2 linked regions of the Styela clava genome follow. The protein of the gene in region 1 purifies or fractionates together with the protein of each later gene. This does not show direct contact. Links are inferred from orthologs where the notes say so. Each region holds a gene or a part of one and is shown on either strand. Other genes may lie near its edges.

Region 1 (7,944 bases):
AAATCCGCCTTGGGGACTGACAAAATGTTTGACTAATTTTCTGTATTTCTAGCGACTGCCCTGTATATTCTTGATTATGCAATAATGATTAATTTCATAATGAGTAATGTTCAACAACAAAATTTGTTTTATTAATCATTGCAACATCATTAAATCTAAATTTTATAATTGAGTAGTTAAGATAAATATTGTTTTGATTGATTTTTCATTTTACAAAGTCAGAAGTTAAGTCAATTCTTTTTTTTTGTCTGATGTTTATTGAGATACCGGTAGATGTTATTTTGACTTACAACTTTATTCAACACCGTTAGAAGTTGGCCTAACTTTTACTTTTCTCTGATGTCCGATATCAAATTGTCAAAATGATAAATTTCAAAATAAATTATTCTAATCTACCTTATATCTAAAATGAAATATTTACAATATCAAATATAACCACTATTGAATGCATTTAATTTTCTATCTGTCTTGGATATCCGTGGAGGAGAATGAGCTCGCCATCAATCTACTGATTACCATGCATGGGTTTGGCAATTGAATCAGGGACCATGGTTCCCCATAAATTAACCCTTCCTTTTCAGAGAGAGGAAGAGAGTTTATTTCATTTGCCAAACCATAAAACACACAATATATGCAAACATTTATAAATAATAAATAGACAGATGCTTTGGTGTGTGACTGAGTTGCAACGATATGACCTTTTGGGTTCATCAGAGTCTGAATTAGTTTGTTGTTCACTTTTAACAGCTCTTCTCTCCCTAGGGTAAATTTTAAAAATCTATATTACCAAATAGAAACTTTTCTTTGACAGAAATTCCATGACAGCTTGAGCCCAGTCATCGTATTTGATGAAACTTTTCGCAGTTTCTTTCGCCCCAGTTTTGATTTCTTGAAACCTGGAAAAAATATTGATATAATTTTAAATTTTTATTATTTCCCTAAAACATGTGAGATAATTTACCACAACCAAACTTTTGAACACCCTGGCGCTTTTTCCCTTCTGAAGTTAATATAGAAAAATCCTTTTTTCACATTTTAAATGCAGGGGTCACAACCTGCAGAAACCCCAACTGGGTACTCCCTACTCACCTTCATCACCTTACCGAGGGCTTGAACAGAAAGTTATTCAAAGCAAAAGTCGTAACAGCACATCACAACTAAAAAAAACTACTAGGACCTTATATTTTAGACAGGTATTGCTAGTAAAAAGGTTCCTGCAATAACATGAAAACCTTGTTATGAAACTAAAAACATAACAGCTATTCACCCGATGGCATAGAAATCAACTTCAACATTTGATTTCAATAATTTTTCAATATCTTTCTCATCCAATGGATCAGCTTCCCCTACGTTCCATGTGCTGACGAATATTCTGGAATATATTTAACAAGGTGAAAATAACTATCTTTATGATAGAGAATAGAGATAGCCTCCCTGTGCTGGGAATTAGATAATATGCAGGATTTATTTATTTCTCCCATGAAAGAAAGTACATAAGACATCTATCAGTTTACTGCAGATAGTAGACTATTATTTTTGTATTTTCATTATTATATTGGGAGAACGGGAAAGCTAATAAGACAGCTTAATGATATGGCATATCACAGCCACAATGGAAATAGATTAAAATAAAATTTTTCGGGATGCGTAAACCTGATGTTTAACAATTAATACAACAGTGCAATAATTCTGATAAGATCAGTTTTTAATATATCCGCATGTTCCCCTTACAAAATTATACAAGCCTGTGTCCGGCAGTGTTATAATCAATGCCATGTAAAGATATAGGCTAATATAGTAATAATATCTGTATATGACGAAATGGACAATTAATTAAATACAAGGAGCAGTTTTGAGTTGAGTTAACCGAGATCGAGGAATAGGTAATTAAAATTTAAATGATATAATATTTTGGGTTGAACCCATTTGAACCCATGTGTATATCCGCGGGTTCAATCTATATGTGGGTGCTAAAATCCATGGGTTAGGGTTAGTATGGGTTCAAATATTCGTAAAACAAAATTTTTTTCTATAGGTGCAATAGTACGTAGGTTCAAATGTAATGGAACCAATATTTTGCTGTTCTGTTATTAACCATTTCAGCATTTTTTGGCTTCCCTTTTCTAGTTTCTGAGTTTCCTGTGATTTATATAAGAATTCTTAGCTTGAGTATTTTAAAAGTAAACAACAGCCAGAAAGTTTATTACATTCACATATTTTTTGTGTATTTTTGTATTTATTTCTGGCCCAAGCCTTGTTTAACAAAGTTTGAGTTTTTTATTTGTGAATGCTGTTGGTGAGCGGGCAAATGATACGAATCTTGTTTTAAACTTTTTTAAAGGTTTTGCTCGCACTCCAGAATTCTCCATTCTTTATTTGTTTGTACCATTGTCAGATTGTGGAGTTTTCAAAGTAAACTATCTATCTAATTCTGACATTCTACACCTTCATTATAAATGAATCAATGTCGTTAATAGTCTACACCAGTTCTGACAAGTACGGTACGGGACTCATGGTAAGATCTTATAATCAGTCATATAAAAAAACCTACCTGAATTTCTTAAACTGATCCGCCATTATTCCATTAACGTTCTCTTCCACTTCCTTGTCTGTTGACCAGTGGATAGCACCGAAGGCAGCCAGCAACACAACCAAAATCGCAACCCAAAAACTCGACGTTTTTACTTTTTTTCGTTGCAATTAAAACAAAAACTGTTTTAATCAATTCTGAAATCAGAGAAAATAGCGAACAACAGAACAAATCGTCGAACCCAAGTCCTTGCAGAAATTGCGAAACCGCAAAATGTAAACAAAGCGTTCGCCAGCCAGCCAGCTGTACGAGACTTATTCAGCCGTGCAACTGTCAACTTGATAGACTTCCTCCAGATTTTTTCGTTATATTCCGATTTAGCTTATTCCAAAACTCTTCACACCAGCTCGGTGTGAATATAAATTCTGTTTGAGTTTGTACATTTTAAAAACACTTGCACCATTACATAATAAAAACCAAATAACTAAATTTACATAGGAACGTCCAAACCATATCAAAGGTTTGCAATGTTTGTGGCGAGGACTCTGAACACACGTTTGATACACAAGTATCCTGTTCAATTCGGGCACATCGATACGACACACGTCTTACCAAAGGACTCGAAAGGAAATCACCGATCATTGTCAAATTTGTACGTCGAAGCGTTAAATGCCAAATTTATTCTGCCCCAAAAGGACTCCGCGGAACCCGCCTTTCCATCACCGAATCTCTTCCCGAACGACGCCGCATCTTGTTGACTGAAGCCCAACGACTATCTTTCGGCAATTTGGATTGTAGTACAGCCGTTACATAGTCTATTAGAAAGCATTGATGACCAGAAAAAATAATACTGATGTTCTATCATGCCATGGTTGTAGTAAAATTGTAAAAGATAATGAATAGCCTACAGTATTTTTTGCGACCACTGTTCACACTGGATTCATTTGAAATGCAGTGGTTCATCCCAAAATGAGTACAAGAAATTGGAAAAAGAACCCTATTGTGTTCCATGGTGCTGTAGACCAGGGTTTCTCAAACTTTTGGTGTTACGGAGCCGTTGAAGAAGTTGATTATTATTCACGGAGCCCACAATAAATTTTAAAAATAAAACAACACATTGTTACTTGACGATTAATGTTCATGGGTAAGTTGAAATTACTTTAGGATAGGATAGGATAAGATCTACATATTTATCCCGGGGAAGAGGAAAGCCGATAAGACGGCTTATCCATATGGCGAACCACGGCCTCTCGTCCGGTTACCATTCCAAGTCGGGTATGGGATTAGATTTACTGTATTGTTTGTTTTCGGGAGCATGGACTTGGTGGTGGAGGAAGCCGTAACTGACCAGCGGTTACGTGAACCACCCAACGACGGCGAGGAATCCAGCAATCCTCTCGCACATAACCATTCCTGCATGGGATTCGAACCTGCGAACCCACGCAGAGTAGTTAGAGGTGCGGTGGCGAGCGTATTCCTAACGCTTAGCCCGTTGAGCCACACCGCCGCGCCCCACTTTAGCCCTACTACCGCTACCTACTTTACCCAATTCAAAAGCTAAACCTTTTATAATATATTATATACCATAAATAAAAGCCACAAATGATGCTAAATTTCACAAATAAATTTCATATATATATATATGTATTGAGATGTGCTGTCTTGTCCATTAGGGAAAATAAGCACGTGCTTAGGGAGCAAAGGAAAATGGGGCACCACAGAAATTTTAAACCTCCTGAACTCAGGTTGTGTACCAGGTTAGGGTTCAAGTTATGCGACATCTTGGTGCGCATGCTTCAGGAGGTCCAAAATTTTAATATACAGACCGCAATGAATGCACTTATAATACAATGGAAGATTAATTGACCACGGCCTTCACATTGATTACAGCCTTCAAAAATTTCATCTGAATCATGAGAACTATTGTCACGGATTTTATTATCCGTGTGTTTTAGTTTAGTTTGTCTTTTTATATTTGCCTATATGCTTTTTCGAGGACCCTTAATTTGGATATACTTCATCCGGGTCCGGTTATTGTGAGACTCCAATCACCCTCGAGTTGTTAGAAAAAGAGTTTCACGCTCTTCTTTTCCGGCTGCCGCGCTGGCAGGCGGGCGTGTTTTCTGTATTCTGTGTTTTTTGCTGTTTTAAGTGTTTTAAACACGAAGTTGTCGCCATAATAAACCACAAATCCGGAATCTGAGTCTTCTGATTCAATACACTGTAGAAACATCTACTAACCGTTACACTATGACGCGTGACCTCGACGTAGTATCAGAATGAATAGAAAGGTGCATAACACGCGCAATTTGCTACATTTCATCTTTAATGACTGGGGTAGCATGTTTCACATGTCGTGGGATTCTTCGGACAAAATTTACGGTGTTTTTCATTTTTTAGTGTGTACGATATCGTTTCAATCTATAAAAGGGCATAACGCATCGCCAATTTTTATCTGAGATGTTTTATAAATTCAGAAAAGTAAACCAGAGATACGACGGCTAGTTAGCACAAGAGACAGAAAGATTAAATTAGTATTCCTCCACTGACAGTCAGAAATTTGGTTTGCACATTCACTAATTTGAATTATCTTAGCATTTTCCTTAAAAACTAAACTAAAATGAACAACTGTTTTAAAACGGGATATTCACGCATTCAACAGTTGAAGCAGCGCACACGATAGTCTCAGATAAACGCTTTCAATCGAGGTACGAATGAACATGATTCGAATAAATGTAAATTGGGAGCTCGCGAAATATGTGCACCAAGATGGCGCACAACCTTAACATAGTATGTGTACCAGATTAACTTTCAGGTTGTGCGCCATCATTCTGTAGGCGATTAGCCTCGTCACAGGCTGTCAAGTGTGACGTCGTTAATCAAGTAAGATTTTAATCCACCCTATTCTCAACAGCAGCTGTAGCTCAGGGGAAGCGTTCAGACATGATCAAACATTAGGATCGTGGTTCGAACCCCACATGGTGGAGTGAGTTGTAGGGGTAGACCATCAAACAAGGCAGACGGTCGAGGGAGAAAGAGGCAGGCGAGAGCAGCAGCAAAAGAAAAAATCGAGGCGAAAGATATCAAGACGAGAGCAGTTCAGGGGGGGGGGGGGAGAAAGGTCAGGCGAGCAGATTTCAGGCGAGAGCCAGGAAAAATAAATAGGAGTAAGTAAATCGATCAGCGGGATGGCCAAACGGTCAGTGTGGAGTAAAAATGGAGACAAGGCCGAGCAGTTGAGGAGAGGTCAGTGTGGAGTTTAATAATGGAGACAAGGCGAGGTCAGGCGAGAGCAGCAGCCGAGGAGAGCAAGATGAAAAGAAAAAAAAAATCCGCCATAAGGGCGGATGCAAATAGGGAGAATTGTTACGTCACTTTTTGCATCTTGCTGATAAAATTAATCAGCGGGATGTCCAAGCCATAAGGGCGGATGCAAAAAGGGAGAATTGTTACGTCACTTTTTGCATCTTGCTGATTGGCCAATGTCACGAAGTAAACAAAGATGCTCAGGGAAAGGTCCATTATCTTTGAATGACCTTTCTATCTCTGTCCTCTGATCTCATTGACGACCAGGATGAAATAGCCTCGGGACTATGCGATTGTCAATATATAAGTGCAAACGATATTGAAGAGATTTGTCCAAGCTTAAAGCGAAACAGTTATCTTTTCACAATGTGCGCAAATATGCGTTCGCTTTCTAACCCAAAAAAATTTGCCAAACTGAAAGTTTTGTTAGAATCAATGACTAGTCGACCCGATAAAATTGCGGTTAACGAAACTTGGCTTAGACCCGACCAAGTTGGCGCACATATAAGTTTACGTGATTACAGATTCATTTCTCAAATGCGAGAATAAACCCTAAGTGTGGTGGAGTAGGCTTGTATATTAGAGATGGTATTACCTTCAAAACCAGACCGGAATTGTCCATAATGAAAGAGAAAACGTTCGAATCATTATTTGTCGACGTTTATCTCAGAGACCGAATTGTAACTTGTGGTACTGTTTACCTATCCCCACTGTCTGATAAGTCGAGAAATAAAGATTTTTTAATCTCATGAACACTGTTTTGTCCTCACTATCAAGACACAGTATACTAATGGGTGATCTTAGTTACGACCTGATGGACTACTCGCACCGTTTCGTCAACGAATTGACTGGGTTGATGAACCTATTTTTCTCCCACTATAAACGAACCGACCAGAATAACTGAAAACAGCGCGACAATTCTTGATCATATAATATATGGACAAACATATACGATCGAAAACCTGTCAGTGCTATTCCAACCGATGCAATCTCTGATCAACTACCTGTAATAGCCATGTGACCGATAGGACAAAAAAAACACTTAAAAACGAAGAAAAACAGTTTTTCTCGATCATTTAATTCGGCCAATATGACTAATTTTAGTGGTTCCATTACATTTGAACCCATGACAATTGCACCTGCATACTATTGCACCTATGGAATTTTTTTTTGTTTCACGGATATTCGTTCGAACCCATACTAACCCTAACCCATGGGTTTTAGCACCCGCATATAGATTGAACCCGCGGATATACACATGGGTTCAAATGTACGTGAGTTCAAATGTACGGTCACCAATTTTAGTACGTCATTAGAATGTATCGATTTCTCTGTAGTGTGTGAAGAATCAGACCCGGACGATGCCGTTAGAAAATATTCTTGCAATGTTATGCCAGTTTATAATCGTTGTTTTGCTCAGATTTTGATCAAAAAATCTAACAAAAAGTGGTTTGATAAAGAATGAACAAAACTTCATAAGAAAAACAAAAACTGTACAAATCAACTCTCATAAACAAATTGCACTATTCTAGGAAATCAAGAAAACGTACGAAAAATGATATTGGCCAAAAACCATTCTTACTACAGATTGCTCTTGAGTAAAACTAAAAACGATCTGAAAAAATCATGGCAAACAATGGATACCTTGCTAGAGTGATGCAAATCTAAACAGTGGTAAGATTAAAATTTTTTGTCAGCCGGTTCCTTCACAAAAGTTTTATTTTTCAGTCGGTTCTGTTACAAACAGAACATTGACAGTAACTCAGTCACGCTAACCGGTTCGCTGATCTCATAAAATTTCGAGAGACGGTTCTATAGAACCACTGAATCTAAACTGTCGGAAGTATTTGTTGTAGGAAATAAGGAAACGTGTGATCCTGTATGGATAGCTGATAGTTTCAATGAACATTTTTCTACGATAGAGAAGCGAATGGCTGATAAATTTACTCATGATAATGACGGTAACTTCATGGACAAATCTAGTAACTCTTCAATGTTTCTGTCACCGGTGACAGCCACAGAAATCAGAGCAATGCCATGAAACTTATAATCTTTCCTTGCAATTGTGACAATTTATTGATGTATTTAAAATCGCTAAAGTAGTACCG
Region 2 (6,983 bases), about 12 Mb from region 1:
CTCCAGGGTAACCTGAGCTAGCCAGGACGATACAAACAGATTTTGTGTTTTTCCAGCAAATATGAGAAGAGTTGAGGGATCCTTTGCAACACTGTGTGAAAATCTCATATAAATCAGAATCTAATAATGACATGAGAACTTGACACTCTGGGTCTCCAAATCTACAATTAAATTCTAACACCTTTGGTCCATCCTTTGTGAGCATGATACCAGCATATAAAACTCCAACATATTTTTTACCTTCATTCTTCATACCATTAACTGCTACTTGCAAAACATGATTCGTTATATATTCGACCACTTTATGATCTATTTGAGGACATGGGCCATAGGCACCCATCCCTCCAGTATTTGGACCTTTATCGCCATCATACACCTGTTTGTGATCTTGTATTGGTGGCATCACAGCAATAGTGTCACCATCTGTAAAGCAAAGCAATGAGAATTCTTCACCATAAAGCCGTTCCTCCACAACCAAAGTATCACCAGATGAACCAAACAAGTTTTGTTCAAAAATATCCTTTACAGCTTTACAAGCTTCAGTAGCAGTTTCACATACCACGACACCTTTGCCTGCTGCAAGTCCACTTGCCTTCACAACCAACGCATCATAATTCGCTGTATTTATATGAGCAATGGCTGAATCAGCATCTTTAAAACTTTTAAATTGTGCGGTTGGAATGCCATTTCTCACCATGAATTCTTTGGCATATTCTTTACTGGCTTCCAGAGCAGCAGCAGAAGAGGTTGGCCCAAAACATCTCACACCGTTTTTTGCTAGTACATCACATATTCCATCTGCCAGTGGTACTTCGGGACCAACAACAACAAGGCTAATTTCATTCAGTTTGCACCACAAACTGAGACTTTCATAATTGTCTGATGGAACATCAATGACATTCATTACTTTTTGGTATTTCTTAGCATGTTCCGACATTTCGTTTTCCACAATGTTGTTATCAGTTCCTCCATTTCCTGGGCTCACCAAAACGGACTTAACAAGAGGTGACTGTGACAGCTTCCATGCTAGTGCATGTTCTCTTCCCCCAGAACCAATTATCAAAATTCTTGCCATTCTTACGGTTTCTTATACCGTTTTCCTATCTTATTTTTTGCAGACCTGAATTTCAGAATTGCGAGATTAAAAATCATTAATTAAGTATCCTATATAGCCTAGGAGACTCTTATTTTACAGTCTTATTCACATACTCAGTAGATTAATTTAAATCAATTCAAGTTAAGCCATTAAGCACAGTCAGACAGTGGGTAAATTCGGGATTGTAAATGACGGGCAACACTGGGCGATGAGATACAGTATCTACCAAAGTTACCCCAGCCCACACTCACCCTGCGGTCAACGGGTTAACCCACTATTTTACTCACTTTATAAACCTTATTTCATGAAAACTATTTGCCCTGATAATATATAGCCCATACTGCCATAGCTGATATATTCCACGCAAATGCAATACCAAGCTCAGCCTACAGGCCTAGTTACACCTAACATGGCCTAACAAAAACGATTGTGGGCTGGCATCCCATGACTGTGGGGCTGGCGTTCTGATGTTATAAAGTGAGTAAAATAGTTAGTTAACCCGTTGACTGCCGGTGTAGGCTGGGGTAACTTTGGTCGGTATCTTTACATCTTGGTTACTTTTAAATAATTACATTAATTTTTTCAATAAACTATGATTGTATGAAAGATAACGATGATTCTAGTATTTTAAAGGAGCTAGGTACGGTATCGTGCAAGTTTTCTGAATCTTCAATCAGTACTGCAGTATATCATAATCAATCAATCAATCAATTTTATTCGATCACTCTGATACAAACAAAACACAAAACAACAACAAAGGGACAAACAAAATACAGAGGACCTGGAGGACGGGCATAACTTAATAAAAAAGTTAAATACGTACAAGTACGTGCCCGTCCCCCAAAAACAGGCAAAACACAATAAAACAAAAACATGATGTGACATCGGGCAATATCTTATAAATTCAAATTAAAATGTGAGACGTGTATGTGCTTTTCCTATACAGATATATGGATTAAAGAACACTCGCTGACGAAAAATGGTGATGTTGTGGGTCTACTTCAATTATATTGCAAAAATAACACAGTGACAAATTTTTTTTTACTAAAAAACAAGCTTGGTAAATGGATTGAATGTTCCATAGCAGTCTATGCACAAATCATGAATTGGGGTATTGGGTTCTTTTGTCGTTTTCGGTTAGTTCACTTTAAAATCATTGTATCCGTTCCAATGCTTCCAACATTAATATCGAATTTCCACGAACGACCACCATTCAGCCATTCCAACAGGTGCAGTGATCCCATCTTTTCTATGCTCTGTTCCATCATACACGACTAGATTCATAAAAGGATCGTCCACCATTTAACTTTAAATCCAATCTTTTATCCATAAACTTCTCTTATTTTAGTGGATGGGCTTTGCTCATGTTGATATTGCGCGATACAGATTACAGATACCGAAACATACAACGCGTAGCATTCACTAGTCTTTTCAAGCTGACACGTCTGCACCCGACGAAGGTCGGAACGGAACTCGAATGGAATAAATATAAACACATGTTACTTTTAAATAATTACACTAATTTTTTCATTAATCATTAAACTATGAAGGATAACGATGATTCTAGCATTTTAAATGGAGCTAAGTATCCTGCAAGTTTTCTGAATCTTCCATCAGTACCGTACTGCAGTAGGCTATATCTTGGATATAAACGCACCTACACTCATGACTCAAGACACTGTCAGCGCGTAGGCGGCACACTAATACTCCGAACCGTGGTCATTTACTACGGTACCGTACGGTAGCTCCTACCGGTACGTAAATTACAACAGAAATATCTAAATATTTCCACAATCTTACCAGATATAGTCTGGCGGTACTGATGTCTGCAGACTTTTAAGTATATTATATATACTTACCCTATATTTATTTGCAATACATCGTACCGTAATGTCTGAATGTAACAACATCCTGGCATCTAAATAAAATATCAACAACAAGGCTACACACGTGGTTTCAGTGATAGTGGTTGTGGGGGTCTCCCTAACACCGGGCGCTTGCGAATTCAGGCACTTTGATATTTTATTTTTACCGTACGTCATTGGGGTTTCCAATTTATTGGACACGTGAGTGGACCTATGGATCGTTTTTGATATTATGTTGTTGTTCTTGTTGATATTCTTCTCTTTCGTCGAGATGAAATCGCTTTTCTCTTCGAATACTGGACCAATTGCTCTGATAATTACCTGTAAGAATAAAATGATCAAGGTATTTGAGAATCAAAACAGTTTTGAGGGTAACGAAGCATGGATCTTTCCCCGAGCATCTACTTTCTTGTTTACTTTATGACATTGGCCAATCAGCAAAATGCAAAAAGTGATGTAACAATGCTCTGTTTTCGCATCCGCTCAGACACTTTTCTCACTCAGAGCATAGATGCATTGTCTCTGCCCAGACAGATTACCTCGTTTTTGGGTTTTTGAACTCTATTCGTTAGTTTTCAGTTGTGTTTCGGAAATTTAAATATAAATCAGATAATTCAATGACCACTCTGTCTTCTTATGAGTTTTAATTTAATTGCAATAATAAAAAATTAGTGTAGAATTAGCTGTGATAGACTGGTCTAAAATTCTTCACCGGTACTTTTAGAAAACAGACTGTTGTATGCGATGAATCATAATGATGGTTTGAAACACATACCCTATTTTACAGGCACCAACTCGCGAAACCACTCTTAAAATATGCCCCAGAAATTTCGCAATGGAAGATTTTTTTCAGAAGTCAAAGGTCGGGCAATGGTTCATTAATAAATAAAGCTGAGGAATTTGTTTGTTCACTGTACGGAGTAAATATGAACAACCTAAATGATACCAGGGCACGTCACTCCAAAACTTGCAAATATATGGATTAAACTCTTCCACCCAACAATGATTCACTCTAAAGAAGCATATTCTGAAGGATGAGGATTTCGGAAGCAATTCAGAGGAAAGTGAATTATATTGAAGTCAATTTAATGAATATTTTTAATCAATTTTTCTCAAACATCTGGTAGTTTCGAAAGTCCTATTTCCCATAAATAATATTGACTTTGTATCAAATACACAGCCACATAAACTGAAAAAAGACTAATTTCTGTTTACGACTTTTTTGTGTAAATTTTTCAGTGAGAAATAGCCGATTTATTTGTGTTTTTGTGCTCACGATGTTAATTTGTGACTTCATTGCATAAAAATAAATGCGTTTGATAGCTTCTATAAAATGAATGCAACTTCTTACGCTGTTTTTGTAGTAAACTGATTTTGGTCAGTCGAAACGTTTCAGAAATACATTTGTGTTAGTGCGCTGCAGGACTTTTGAATTGCGTAATTCTTATGCTGTGTTGTTGTAAAGCTATGGAAATTGATTTTCTGAGAATCCCTCAAATGCAATTTTGCATTTTCATTTAAACCGATTTACTTGTGTTTTTGTGCGCGCAAAGTTAATTTGTGACTTCATCGCATAAAATTGATGCGTTTGATGGAGTCTATAAAATGAATGCAATTCTTCATGCTGTGTCGTTGTAAACCTATGGTTATTAATTTTGGGGAAATCTCCTTAAATCGAGTTTTTCATCAGGGTTTTAGAAGCATGTTTTACAGAAAATGTGTAACTTTCGTTAGTGGGAACAAGCTGTAGTGCGTTCAATATATTCATTCTCATACAAAACTAAAGAACTCATATAGTTTCCAGATGGGCGCTACGAAACTCACTTTTTAGGCGTTTTTCAGGGCCTCGTCTCACGGCCTAAAATGTATGAAAATATTTTATATAATCGAATCAATTAAAAAAAAAACGCGTGCTATGAGGGTGTTCTAGTTAGATTTCAAAAATAAATATTATTCTACTGAACTAGTAATAGCTAGGCTTAAGGAAATGATAATTTATATAGCAGTACAAACAAGAAGATCACCTGCGCGATTCTTTTGGTCCTCGCTGCAGCGTTCGATATGGTTCATCACTCAATGGTATAAGAGGCAAATCACTTAACCTCATGGCGTCACACTTAAGCGGGCGTCAGAAATGTGTTCTGAATGGGGTATATATTCATGAAATGGGCTTTACTAAATGCGGAGTTCTACAGGGTTACACAATTGGTCCTCTGCTATTTTCATGTTATTAAATTATCTACCAGTTGCATCTTCCTTATTCAACGCTATTTGCTGATGATACTTCCCCGTTAAAATCTACGTCATGTTTGTCCTAACTTGAGATCGTAGTGAATACTGAAATACAAAATGTTGATATTTGGCTAAAGGAAAATATATAAATTATCTTTAAATTACTCTAAAACAAAGGCTCTTCTGTAATAAGGGAAAAGATATTACCCACTTCAAACTTTTTTAGGCAGTAAAAAAATTGGGCGAACCAATAGTATAAAATATTTGTGGGTCACCATCAATGATAATCTAAGCTGAAACTGCATATTAACTAGCCAGGAAGCTATCGCAAACCGTTGGTATTTTTTATGAACTAACTAAACACATCTTGAATTCTGAAACGCTTAAAGTAATTCATTATAGTTTATTTCACTCACGATTGCAATATGGAATTATTAGTTGGGAATCAGCAGCTAAGTCTTCATTGTAGCTAATTCAAGATGATAAAAGAGATGTGCATAAATAAATATTGTCAGACTAATAAAAAATTGCCTAAGTCAAATTTTCACATTTTAAGTGAAAAACTTTTTTTCTTCGAATTTAGGTAACCACGTCCATCGCTCCAAACTATGATATGCTTCAGCTCGGGATTATTACAAATGATTCGCTTAAAATGCTCAAACTGCAAGTAAGTAAATACTTCACTAGAAAGTTTGCCTTCAGTTTCATTCCAGACGTAACAGTAACCTGCTTTTGATTTTGTATCATATAGTGTGAAATTGTGTACCTATAGCTTAGTTCTGTATTATGAGGTACTAGCTCTCGTTCTAGAACATAAAAGCACGGCCTGTAGATCCATCGTCCAAACGGATTTTTTTGCACTTGCAGAATCTTTGTCGGTTATCGTTTTTTTCATAGCATCATCCTTCAGTTTGATATGCAAGCTATACTCAACTGTACTCATGTTACCATGTTTGTAACCTACACACTTATCAGATTATCGAGACTTACATCAATATCTAGTAGTTCGTGAAACGGTAAATAGCCACTTTTACTATATAAATATGCATCGGAATTCTCCTTGCAGCCATCGAGCTGAAGCTCTATAAAACCCTCCCAACTTCATTCACCTCATCTGTGAAAATTAAATACGGAAACATGTGAAGATCGCTCACTACTATCGCCGTATAAATTCGCATTTTTTGGCGTTCAAAAACTTGTCACGTGTGCCACTATCATTTGCAGAAGCATTTCCAAGTAGAGCATAGTTTCTCAGCTTCCTGGACTTCATACCGTTAGTACTCGATCACTACAATTACTTGCCGGTAGCGTCCAGATGTTGAAATATATATGTCAGTACACCCTATTTAACCAGAAAGCACTGCTCGTCAAAGAGTGTCGTAACGATGCCAGAACGTACCAAACCTAGATGAGGACAAGCGTGTTTAAATGTGCCTATCTCAATAATAGTTCCGGTTAGCGCTGGTCAGTTACGGCTTCCTCCACTGTTGGCGTAGTAATGGACGATGTCTTGGTTCACGGACGAAACCAAGAGGAACATGACAAAAGACTTGACGCTGTTTTGAAAAAGATAGCAAAAGCAGGTCTTGCGTTAAACGACAAATGTCAGTTTTCCCTCCGAAAATTAAAGTTTCTTGGTTTTATGATAGATGCAGAAGGTGTGGAGGACCCTCAAAAGGTCATGGCTCTTTCCAAAATGCCAGCTCCCACAAATGTTTCCGAACTGAGACCCTGAAACAGAAAAATTCTAAAGGACAATGGAAACCTGTGGCGTTTGCTTCGCGCGCTAT

What was found. The genes of interacting proteins can lie anywhere in the genome.
Region 2: the proteins of inositol polyphosphate 5-phosphatase K-like (region 1) and trifunctional purine biosynthetic protein adenosine-3-like purify together in Homo sapiens (co-immunoprecipitation; 3 studies listed by BioGRID and IntAct, counting the BioPlex papers as one, with this or other methods). This does not show direct contact. The link is inferred for Styela clava from reciprocal best matches to the Homo sapiens genes INPP5K and GART.

Annotation. Positions count from the first base shown.
Region 1 is NC_135252.1:22,907,844-22,915,787, forward strand, and holds the start of inositol polyphosphate 5-phosphatase K-like, read right to left. Parts: upstream 3,017-7,944; 5' UTR 2,578-3,016; coding exon 2,552-2,577; intron 1,373-2,551; coding exon 1,268-1,372; intron 897-1,267; coding exon 788-896; intron 1-787. UniProt on the Homo sapiens protein: Inositol 5-phosphatase which acts on inositol 1,4,5-trisphosphate, inositol 1,3,4,5-tetrakisphosphate, phosphatidylinositol 4,5-bisphosphate and phosphatidylinositol 3,4,5-trisphosphate.
Region 2 is NC_135252.1:10,861,791-10,868,773, forward strand, and holds the start of trifunctional purine biosynthetic protein adenosine-3-like, read right to left. Parts: upstream 3,011-6,983; 5' UTR 1,076-3,010; coding exon 1-1,075. UniProt on the Homo sapiens protein: Trifunctional enzyme that catalyzes three distinct reactions as part of the 'de novo' inosine monophosphate biosynthetic pathway.